3 linked regions of the Diceros bicornis minor genome follow. The protein of the gene in region 1 binds, or shares a complex with, the protein of each later gene. Links are inferred from orthologs where the notes say so. Each region holds a gene or a part of one and is shown in the gene's direction. Other genes may lie near its edges. The genes, in order: TGFB1, TGFBR2 and ITGB6.

Region 1 (3,745 bases):
GTCCCCCTCCTCTGTCCCCCTCTCCCCAGTGGGTCCCCGTCTTCTGGCTGACCCTGTCCCCTCTGCCTCAGCCTCCCACTCTCTCTGCCCGGGGTCCCCCTTCTCTGATCCCCTGTACGCTGTGTCCCCATCCTCTGATTAAGGCCAGGTCTTCATTTTCTCGCTGACCCGCACAGTCCTCAAAGCTACACGCATCCCGGTCGTTGGGAGCGCTTTGGTAGCGCTCGGCCGCCAGGAGGCAGCACCCTGTTTGTGGGGCGGAGCCGGGGTGCCCGCCCCCTCCCCCCAGGGCTTAAGGGACCCCCCTCGGAGCCCGCCCACGCGAGATGAGGACGGTGGCCCGGCCCCCCCATACCCTCCCCCTGGGGGCCGCCCCCGCCCCGCGCGCTTCCTGGGTGGGGCCGGGGCGGCTTCAAAACCCCCCGCCGCCCCAGCCGGTCCCCGCCGCCGCCGCCGCCGCCCTTCGCGCCCCGGTCGTCCCACCGTCTCCGCCCGCCGCGGCTCAGCCAGACAGCGAGGCCCCCGGCCGGGGCCAGGGGGGACGCCCCCTCCGGGGCACCCCCCGGCTCGGAGCGGCCCACGGGGCCGGCCTCGGCCCGGAGCGGAGGAAGGAGCCGCCGAGGAGCAGCCCGAGGCCCCAGAGTCTGAGACCAGCCGCCGCCGCCCCCGCCGCCGCCGCCGCCACTGCGAGGAGGAGGGGGAGGAGGAGCGGGAGGAGGGACGAGCTGGTTGGGAGAAGAGGAAAAAAAGTTTTGAGACTTTTCCGCTGCCGCTGGGAGCTGGAGGCGCGGGGACCGCTTGGCGCGGCGCTGCCCTGCGAGGAGGCAGGACTTGGGGACCCCAGACCGCCCCCCCACCGCCTCGGACTCTTGCTCCCTCTCTGGCCCCTACACGGCGTCCCCCAGGCGCCCTCATTCCGGACCAGCCCTCAGGAGCCGCAAACCCGACTCCCAAGAAGACCTGACCCAGACCTCGGGCGCACCCCCCTGCACGCCCTCTCCCCAGCCTCTCTCCTGAGCCCCTGCGCGCCCAAGGACCCTTCTCCGGGATCCGGGAGACGGGATCTCGCTCAGATCTGCCACAGCTCCCCTATTCAGGACCACCCACCTCTGGTACCAGATCTCGCCCATCTGGGTTTCTTCGGTGGGATACCGAGAAACCACCCATCAGAGCCTCCCCTCCACCGCCGCTCCGTTCTCCCTGCGGGCCTCAACTTTTCCCCCCAGACCCTCCTACCTTTCCTCGGGAGCCCCCCCAGCCCCTGTAGGGGTGGGGCCTCCCTCTTCCCACCCCAGCCCGGCTCGCGCTCTCGGCAGTGCCGGGGGGCGCCGCCTCCCCCATGCCGCCCTCCGGGCTGCGGCTGCTGCCGCTGCTGCTGCCGCTGCTGTGGCTACTAGTGCTGACGCCTGGCCGGCCAGCCGCCGGACTGTCCACCTGCAAGACCATCGACATGGAGCTGGTGAAGCGGAAGCGCATCGAGGCAATCCGCGGCCAGATCCTGTCCAAGCTTCGGCTCGCCACCCCCCCGAGCCAGGGGGAGGTTCCGCCCGGCCCGCTGCCCGAGGCCGTGCTGGCCCTTTACAACAGTACCCGCGACCGGGTGGCCGGGGAGAGCGCCGAGACGGAGCCCGAGCCCGAGGCGGACTACTACGCCAAGGAGGTCACCCGCGTGCTAATGGTGGAAACAAGCAAGGGTGAGCTCAGAGGGGCAGGGGACCCTGGAGGGGAGCCCCCAGGGGGCGCCGGAGTGCGGGGGTCATGGGGAGGAAAATACTGGCGGAGAAAACTGGCTGGAGGAAGAGGACCCCCGGGGGCGCCAGGAACGTGGGAGGGAGATCCCAAACAGGATAGGGCTGAGCTCCTTACCCCACCAGGTATCTGGTCTTGAAGAAGAGGAGATAGTGAGCCAAGTGGACCGCTTCTAGAGGGCGACAGGAACATGCGGGATCGTGGGGGAAGTCCCCTAGAGAGAGAGAAGCAATTCGGGGGAGGAATAGAAAAAGACTTCTCCCTCCAGGGTGCACTAGAATGCGGGGGTCGTGGGGTGGGGGGCTGCAGAGTGGGAGCCCTGTTTGGGAGACGGGAAGATCCCAGCATTTGGGAAAGGAGAGGCAGTGCGGAAAGCTGACCCAGAGCTCAGGGGTCGTGAGGCGGGGAGGTTCAAGAAGGACAGAAAAGCTGGGTGAAGCGAATCCCGGAGGTGTCAGGAAAGCGGAGAGTGGACCCGCTTGTGGAGGGCGCAAGGAGCACGCGGGATTGGGGGAGGGCCCAGAGAGAGAGAGACGGTGAGGAGGGTGTAAATTCGGGGAAGAAAGGGACGCGAGGTCGTAGGGAGGGGAAAGCTAGTGGGAGAGAAGCGGAGACCCCGGAGGGTGCCGGGGATGCGCGGGGAGGTGCCCTCAGTATTTCGCATGGGGACGTGAGAGGAAGCCCAGCAGAGGAAGCGAGCCCCCGGGGAACCTAGAATACTGGGTCGTGGGAAGGGGTTTACAGAGAGGGGAGACAAGCGTGGGAAAGGTGGACCCGGGAGGGGGGCGGAGGAGAGAGAGACGGTGCCGTGCTGGGAGCAGCGAGCCCCCCCTATGCCGCCGTATGGAAAGAAGTGAGCTCAGTGAGGAGTCGAGCCGTAGGGGGAGAAGTGGGTGGGTACGACTCTACAAGATCGGGGTGAGGAAACTGAGCTGGTAGGGGTGAAGAAGCCCCACGTGGGTGCCACGCGCGGGGGGAGGAGCCTGCGCTTCCGGAAGGAGGGAGGAGGACCCCGCAGAGCCAAAGGCTGAGAACCTGGACCCCAAACTCCCAGTTCCTCTCTGGGAGGCTGGGGAAACCCCAGCGTCCGGCCACCTCGCCCTCCCTCCCTCCCTTTCCTTCCCGTGCCCCGGGGGGGCGGGGATCGCGCGCGGAGCCTGGGGCGAGACGAGGCAGGTCGGGTCCCCGCCTTCGCGGCGGCGGCGCCTCCCGCCCTCTGCACCCCGGCTCGGGGCGGAGCTACCGCTGGGCCCGCCCTTTCGGCGCCCTAGCGGGGACCCAGGCGTCCCGGTGGGCGGGAGGTTGGGGGGCGGTCCCCCTGCTTTCATTTTCTCTCTTGGGCGGTGGACTTGTGGGTCCCTGACCCATTCGTGCGCTTAGTTTGCGGCTCCAGCCAAATGACGCTGCTCCCCACACACATCTCGGTCTCACCTTCTTTTCCGTCGTCGCTTCACCTTCGTTGTAGGGATTTCTCTAACACTGATAGTACCTTCGATCGCCTTCTGTCCTCCCGGACTGTCTCCATCTCGCCCGCAAACCCTGTGTCTCTCTTCCCGTGTGTGTCTGTCTCTCATCTCTTTGCATCCCCATTACTCTGTCTGTCCCTGTATGGGTCTCCCAGTCTGTGTCTCTCCATCTCTTCCCTCTCTCTCTCTCTCTTTTTCTCCTCCATACCCAATTCCTCTCCTCTCCCTGTCTCTGTGGTCTCTCCATCTCTCCCTCTGACCATTTCTGCTCCTCCTTTCTCTTTTCCTGCCTATCTGTCTCCCCGGCTGGGCTCTATCCTTCCTTTGGGGGTTGCTGAGTAACCCCTGGGCCAAGATAGGGCTTATTTGTGAGGGGTGGGGGCTGGCCTGGCTAGAGTGGGGGGGAGGAGGAGAATGGGGCCCACAGAAGGGGTTTCCTCCATTCTTTCTCATCAGATCCTGTCTCCACCATTTCGGCACCCCCACTGCTGAGGCCTAAAGCAGGTGACCCAGTTCATGCAGGAGTTCAT
Region 2 (3,745 bases), on another chromosome or scaffold:
AGCTGGAAGTAGGGTGAGCATATAATTCATTATCCAAACAAGACACATGGGAAAGAGAATGTGTCTTGGTTGGATAATGATTAATTTCAAAACAGATGTACACCAGTATAGTTCTGGGCAAACCTGGTCACCTTAGCAAGAAGAGAAAGTTGAAAGTTTATTCTGTCCGCCTCCCACTATTTCCCCTATAGCAGAGGAGAGGATAAGCTTTCTCTCTCTTCATGGGCACTACTGGAATGCAAACACTGGTATTTAGCTGACTCCCAGGCCACTTTCATTTTTACATTTTCTACTGTACTTGATACATTCTGAAGATAAGATTTCTCACCATTATCACTCTGTAATGGCTGATCATTTACAATTACTCACTTAATCACCCCCAGGAAGAGGCAGGTCAAAATGGGAGGCACCACCCAAGAGCTCATCAGAAATGCTGCATCCTAGATGTACTGAATCAGAATCCGCATTTTAACAAGATTCTCAGATGATCAATATGCACATGAAAGTTTGAGAAAAAACGTCCGGACTTCAACCTACAGTAAGAAAACCTTTTTACAATGTGACAGTGTATGCACACATAACCGAAACAAAAGTTTGAGGCAATCCTTACTCTTACTATTTTATTAGGGAAAAAATGTGCTCACAACTCATTAGATTTCAGCATCCACTCACGGGTCGTGACTTGTAGTTTGAAAATACAACTCTAAAGCACCTAGGAACAATCCCAAGAAGGTTGGGGGCGGGGGAGATGCTTCGTGGGGGTGCTATGGAAAGGATATACACTTTCTCTGTTCAGTTACTTTCTGAAACGTGTGCACTTAGTCACTCCGGAGTAAATCCTTGGAGCGAGGAGCTCCTGAGAGCGGTGAGGGGCAGCTGAAAGTTTGCCAAAGCCCTCAGAGGGGCTGGTCCAGGGGACGTGATTGGCAGCTACGAGAGAGGGCGAGGGCTGGAAGCGAGCAGAGGGAGAAGGCTCTGCGGCGGCGAGAGGTCCTGCCCAGCTGTTGGCGAGGAGTTTCCTGTTTCCCCCGCAGCGCCCGGGTGAAGTTGAGTGAGTCACTCGCGCGCACCGACCGAAGACACCCCCACGCGCGCACACGCCCGGGGCAGGAGCCGGCCTCCTGCGCAGCTCCCCTCGGCCGCCGGGGGCCTCCCTGCGCCTCGCCGGCCTCCAGGCCCCCTCCCAGCTGGCAAGCCGGCGCCACATCTGGCCCGCACATCTGCCCGGCCGGCCCGGCGCGGGGTCCCGAGAGGGCGCGGCGCGGAGGCGCAGCCAGGGGTCCGGGAAGGCGCCGTCCGCTGCGCTCGGGGCTCGGTCTATGACGAGCAGCGGGGTCTGCCATGGGTCGGGGGCTGCTCAGGGGCCTGTGGCCGCTGCACATCGTCCTGTGGACGCGCATCGCCAGCACGATCCCACCGCAAGTTCAGAAGTCGGGTGAGTGGCCCCCAGCCGGGGCTTGGCGGGCCGCCGGGGGTCTCCCGGGCTCCCCGCCCCTTCGCCGCGCTTGACAGGCGGCCCCGGGAACGCAGCGCTCGGGCGGAAACGGGACGGTTTCCCCTCGCGGCACCCACGCAGCCCGACTCCCTTGGCCGCAGGGACGTGAGTTTTTCTTTAAAAAGAGAAGGAAAGTTCAAGTGGAAAGGGGCGCGGGGCACGTTTGGCCCCCTTTGTGCGGGCAGGAAAGGCGTTGTGTTGGCCGCGTTCGAGGCGAGCCCCCACCCCCGGAAAGGGAAGTTTGAGAAGTTGGTTATCTGAAGGAGGCAGGGGAGCAGCGGCCCGGAGCGGCGGCCGCAGAGGCCGCCAGAGCAGCTGGCACACCTGGGCCACCGCGCCCCGCGGCGATGCTGCGTGCCCACGCCGGCTGGCCGAGCCACCCCCTTAAATGGCCAGTTACTCAATCCTTAGCCCCTGGGAAGGGCCACACACTCCCCCAGGCCGGCTTCTTGGCCCGGAGTTACTGTAGGAAAGTTGCAAGACAAGAAGCTCTTTCCAAAGGAAAGTTATCCGGCTCCACTGACGGCTAGGCGTGGATGGGGTAGGGAGTGGAGGTTGTCAGGTGGAAGGCGGAGAGTTGTTTACTGAGTGCCTACTGGGTGCTGGGTGCTAGGTGCTGGAGATGGTGCCTGGAGCAAGACAACCCTGCCTTCCGGGAGTTGACGGTTCTCTGCAGTAATCGTTTGGTGGAAACGGAAGGGTTAAAATCGTAAATCCGCTGCCCACCTGATCTCTATCTCTAGAGGTTTTTGAGGGGGAAAAATGCAGGAATTGAGTTCTTAAAGATTTGTTATGAGAAGCATCGAACCCCTGAGACCTGAAGAGTTAGAATTTTTGCAGCTAGGATCCACATTATTGAGAATCTGCAGCTGGGCTGTGGGTAACGGAGTATTTGGACCTTTCTCAGGCCTCAGTTTGCTCATCTGTAAAGTGACGCGGTTAGATTTGGATAATTTTACATTACCTTCATCTTTATCATTTTATGTCCCTCTCTTCCCCCTTTGGTGACTTGGAGATGCCCTGTGTGGATGTGGGATGAAATGTATTGGATTTGACAGTCCACATCACCCTGAGGCACTCTTTTTACTTACCAAGGGCTGCACAGGCTTTCCTTTAGGTTTGTCTAGAAAAAATATGCACCAGGTTCTAAATGGTACATTTCAGGGTATTTGAAGTGGATTGAGAACTTTTTAAGATTATGTTTTATATTCAAAGTCCCATGGAGGTGGGAGTTTTTAATGGAATGAGGAAGAAGCACTTATTGTAAACAAAAAAATCCTAACATAAATTTGAGTTCTACTGTTTAATCAAATCCCAGTGTTTCATTCTCGGCTGTTTTTGTATACTGCAGTACTAGAATGTTCAGTTGCTTCTGATTATACCCCACACTCTTAAAAATTGAGTTATATTTTGCTAATAAATATTTTAAATGGCACCCTCAATTTTCTGTGTATGTTAAAAATCACTAAAACTTTTGTTTCAGATTACGAAAGAAGGAAATTAGCAGGCTCTGATTTTGTTAGGTTTTGTTTACAAGGATAAGATTTATGATTTGCAAATTCCAGACTCAATAGTTTATGAGTCGGTTTCATTTTATCTACATACACACTTTTAAACAATTAACTTAAAAGCTTAGGGGCTTTTTATTTGGGCTTTTAAACAGTTTTCCAAAATGCACAAATTTTATGTTTTGTGGAATTAAAGTTTCAAAATGGTTGAACTAAGGAATCATTTGAATTTGTATTCATTTGAAATTAAATTTTTGAAGATAGTTGAAGGTAACTATAATGAAGATGAGAAACCTGATTCCATGATTGCATTTTAATTTTCCATGTAAATAAATGGTTTCAGAATTTTTCTAACATAATTGGTACACTGTCAAAACATTTTTCAAAATATCTTAATGCATGATAAGATATGAGGAAATGAGATTATTTACAGCCTCCTATTAGGTCACCTAAAAAAAAATCCATCTTCTGTGGAGTAGATTGACAAGCAGATAAAGGATCTCAGTCTAAGAACAAACTTCACTAAGAAATATACTTAAAATTTTTTAAAGTTTTGTTTTTGACTTAGATTCACTCTTCCTAAATGCTCAAAATTAAGTAATTACTCTTTTGGGGAAAACTTTCAATGTCTGAAAACTCTTCAGATCTGAAAAATGTGACTTTTGCTTTTCAAATACCTACCAAGAGATGCTTGTTGATGACTCAACGTTGGTAAAAGTGTCATGTGGATAAACTTCTTTCT
Region 3 (3,745 bases), on another chromosome or scaffold:
GAACCTGAGCAGTCTATAACTAGTTTTCCTCTCTTCACAGGTTTCACATGCTTGTCTTGAAATACACCTTTAAAAGATAATCTCCCGGGATGTAAGCCCAGCCACAAAGAAGCCTGTTTAAGGTCAGATAGTTTATAGGGTTTAGAGAACTGTATATTTCATTCTTACCTGTTCGCAGTTTCTACAAATCCCAAAACACCTTCCTCAATACATTGGAGAAAAATATATAATCAACCTTACGAGTTTAGCCATAAAGTGTATATATTTTAAATTTGTCAGTCTTTCATTCAACAAATAAATACGTCCTATGTGCCAAGAGGTGAGCTAGAAGCTGGGACAGCACAGGAGAAAAAGCACTTGTTCCCTTGCCAGAGGGATTCAGAATCCTGGGCACTACTGTTTCTGCTGCCATTGTGGTTGTTTTGAGACAATCTAATTTTTGCTAATTTAATTTCCATATATTTATTTCCAATATCACTTTTTAATTAAGAATTCTATACTTATGGAAAAATATCTTTCATCCAATTTGAAAAACCAGGAAACACAGTGTTTTACTTTCCCTAACGTGCCTTCTAATTTGACTGTAAAATAATGATTTTTATTTTTCAGAGTTCATTTCAATTCTCTGCAAAGGATTTAACAATGGAATACAAAAATCTCAGGTATTTTCCTTTAGTTCATTTTTTAAAACCCTTGTTATATATAACTATATTATATACTTGTGTTTTATTTATCATCTTTACTGTTTTCATTAAATTAAAATTATTTTAGAAACAACTTTAGATCATATTTCAATTGCTCTTCTGACATTTTACTGATCAATATTTCACTAAAGCTATTAACTTTCTCTAGGATGCAGAGACACTAATAGAATTTACACAAAAATTTCTACTGAATGAATTTCCCCACCTTCTTGGTGATCGTACACCTGCCTTCCTTATAAGGAGAACAAGGAAGTAAATCATGTTGAAGTTGCTTTTAAACACAGCTTTTCTTCTTTACCTGTCCAGGTAGCCTCTGTTTTCATTTCAGTCTTAATGAAAACGTTTTTATTTACATCTCAAGTTTCTTTTCAAAGCAGTGTAAGTAGTATTTAAAATTTTACACTTCAAGAAAGAAAGACTTTTAACGATGTTCAGCTTTGACCTGGTAATGTTGAAGGTAATTCATTTTTTAATCTGTCTGCACAGCGAGAACTGAAACGAATGGGGATTGAACTGCTTTGCCTGTTCTTTCTATTTCTAGGAAGGAATGATCACGTTCAAGGTAAGAACTAAATTCTCCGATATATTGCTTTCGTGGTATGTTTGACAAACCTGTCATTTGGTTCAGAACTAAATCTGAAGTCGTTTTTTCTTTGATCTGTTCAATTGCTCTTTTGCCACTGAGCGAACACTAACGAATTACAGGCAGACTCAGGGCTGTTCCCACAGAGAACGCTCTGGGCTTAAGGTAAATAAACACAAAGGTTGCATGGGCATTTTAATGAGGAGAATTAAACAGCATTACTGTACAATGAGACTTCTTAATATTTTTATGACAACCATTTTGGTAACTTTTCTAGATATTTTATTGTACAACAAGGTCTTCCACTTAAGAGCAATAATCTTGAGAGAGAAAAAGGATTTATTTTAAAAATAAAAATAGAGTACAATTAAGAGAGAAGCATTTTTTAATGCATGCAAATGATTTTAAAAAATTAAAGTGGATGATGTCGAATGAGGATAATAAATAGGATTATGCTATATTTGTGAACATTAAGATCTTTTCATATTTTGAGAAAAAAGAGAATGATCATTTTTGGCTAATAAGACATACATATTTTCAATGTGATGAATGTAAAATATGAACTTTCTTACGAATTGCTAACATTTTGAGGACTGATCATTGAAGACTAAAATAAATTTTGATATTGTTTTGTTCAAGTACTTTAAAAGCCATAAGGCTCGTAAATGGAGTGACTGAGAGTGTGCTGAATCCCTTGTGTCTTGCTGGATTTAAACATAGGTGGCTGTGCTGTGGGAGGTGCAGAAACCTGTGAAGACTGCTTACTCATTGGACCTCAGTGTGCCTGGTGTTCTCAGGAGGTAAAACCAATGACCTCAACATGTTTATAAAAACTGCAGTTACACGTCTGTTAATTCCATCAGTGATGGTTCTGATTTGTCCTGCTTTCTGTGGGGTTATAGGAGTGAAACAAATCAGGAGGGGAAAATGTAAGCATTAGTAGATCAAAGCATTATTCATGTGATTACTTTCAAAAGCAATTTGTGGAGGGAGGGAATGTCAAATTATTCTGAAAAATACTTAACTCAAGATCCTTTGTTTAACCTGATTCCTCCTCTTATTTTAAAGCCATTTCTAACTGGTTACATGTAAAATGCTGAGGCTCTGAGTAATCAGAGATCATGGAGATGATATTTTCTAAAGTTAAACATACGTTCGTCTTCAGTATCATAGTTATAGTCCACTTGGGCACCAGGATCCATTCTGAACCACTGCTAGGTTCCAAGAAAAGTGTTCTGGGTTTGGGGTAAACTTTACCGTTCAGACATTATCCAATTCTTTTAAAAATTACTTTTTCATGAGCTTGATGACTCTGTTCAACAACAACGACAAAGCCTGAAACAGACATTCCTTATCTGATTAAACCCAAAACTATGTGAAAGTAGTATAAGGGGGTTGGGGACTATATAACAAGCCATCCTGAGTCACTGCCTCCTGTGACACTATAGTGCAATCTGTAAATGATTCTTGGCAAAAAAGAGCTGCCTTAGCTCTCTCTGGATTTAAAACAGTTCTCTGCTGAATCTCATGAAGAGAATCTAAACACAAACCAAAGCATACAAATGCCAGGTTCAGCAAGAACTGAGTAGGATGCTCAAAGAGGAACAAACCTGGACGCTTGATGCAGGACCAGGCTATAACTATTAAAACTCAAATTCCAAGTGGAATGTGCATCCATGGAGAAAGGCCTCACAGACAACAGAACACACACCCCACTCACTCCCCCACTATTGTGTTGACTGATGGGGTACAAATAAAAGTGTGAGGGAATTATCCTTTTTTGAGCTCAAGTATCAAAAGCAGGTTTGAGAATAGACAAAGAGGGAAAAACCCACATTTTTTTGACATTGACTCCTTGAAGAAGACAGTATTAGGTTCATACTTGAGACATAAGATAACAGATCTGTGTAACAAAATGCCCACCTCTAGAATTCTTTTTTAAATACATATTTTAGCACTCATTTAAGAGGGCTTCTTAGGTTACTAGTGATAGCTTGACTTGTAGATGATACTTGGTAGCCAAGTTATTGTCAAATTTTAAGGCTGGATTATTCTAAAAGGGCACCCTAATAGGGGCTGACCCAGTGGCGCAAGTGGTTAAGTGCGCGCGCTCAACTGCGGTGGCCCGGGGTTCGCCGGTTAGGATCCCGGGCACGCACTGACGCACCGCTTGTCAAGCCATGCTCTGGCGGCATCCCATATAAAGTGGAGGAAAATGGGCATGGATGTTAGCCCAGGGCCAGTCTTCCTCAGCAAAAAGAGGAGGATTGGCAGATGTTAGCTCAGGGCTGATCCTCCTCACAAAAAAAAAAAAAAAAAAAAAAATAGTTCACCCTAATAGAAGTAGTTATATCAGTTGAGGCAGTTGGAGCAAAAAGTAAATCAGGCTTCTGCTTAGAGCAGATAGGAAATAGGTTCTATGGTTACCATCACCTCTGATCTTTTGGCAAAGATGTTG

Evidence for each region.
Region 2: the proteins of TGFB1 (region 1) and TGFBR2 are in contact, whole or in part, in a cryo-EM structure (PDB 9FKP), measured with the Homo sapiens proteins. The link is inferred for Diceros bicornis minor from reciprocal best matches to the Homo sapiens genes TGFB1 and TGFBR2. Residues at the interface, in NP_000651.3 of Homo sapiens: Arg303, Lys309, Trp310, His312, Tyr368, Tyr369, Val370, Gly371, Arg372, Lys373; in NP_003233.4 of Homo sapiens: Phe47, Leu50, Phe53, Asp55, Ser72, Ile73, Thr74, Ser75, Ile76, Cys77, Glu78, Val100, Asp141, Glu142.
Region 3: the proteins of TGFB1 (region 1) and ITGB6 are in contact, whole or in part, in a crystal structure (PDB 5FFO), measured with the Homo sapiens proteins. The link is inferred for Diceros bicornis minor from reciprocal best matches to the Homo sapiens genes TGFB1 and ITGB6. Residues at the interface, in NP_000651.3 of Homo sapiens: Pro70, Gly71, Pro72, Glu75, Leu158, Asn237, Gly245, Asp246, Leu247, Thr249, Ile250, His251, Met253, Asn254; in NP_000879.2 of Homo sapiens: Ser142, Ala143, Ser144, Asp146, Asp147, Pro196, Cys197, Ser199, Ile200, Pro201, Tyr202, Lys228, Lys231, Ile232, Ser233, Ala234, Asn235, Ile236, Asp237, Thr238, Glu240.

Annotation. Positions count from the first base shown.
Region 1 is NC_080773.1:15,351,729-15,355,473, reverse strand, and holds the start of TGFB1 (transforming growth factor beta-1 proprotein), read left to right. Parts: upstream 1-1,326; 5' UTR 1,327-1,339; coding exon 1,340-1,694; intron 1,695-3,745. UniProt on the Homo sapiens protein: Transforming growth factor beta-1 proprotein: Precursor of the Latency-associated peptide (LAP) and Transforming growth factor beta-1 (TGF-beta-1) chains, which constitute the regulatory and active subunit of TGF-beta-1, respectively.
Region 2 is NC_080741.1:34,750,983-34,754,727, forward strand, and holds the start of TGFBR2 (TGF-beta receptor type-2), read left to right. Parts: upstream 1-943; 5' UTR 944-1,341; coding exon 1,342-1,435; intron 1,436-3,745. UniProt on the Homo sapiens protein: Transmembrane serine/threonine kinase forming with the TGF-beta type I serine/threonine kinase receptor, TGFBR1, the non-promiscuous receptor for the TGF-beta cytokines TGFB1, TGFB2 and TGFB3.
Region 3 is NC_080749.1:42,771,724-42,775,468, reverse strand, and holds the start of ITGB6 (integrin beta-6), read left to right. Parts: upstream 1-1,031; 5' UTR 1,032-1,037; coding exon 1,038-1,082; intron 1,083-1,190; coding exon 1,191-1,266; intron 1,267-2,007; coding exon 2,008-2,087; intron 2,088-3,745. UniProt on the Homo sapiens protein: Integrin alpha-V:beta-6 (ITGAV:ITGB6) is a receptor for fibronectin and cytotactin. It recognizes the sequence R-G-D in its ligands. Internalization of integrin alpha-V/beta-6 via clathrin-mediated endocytosis promotes carcinoma cell invasion.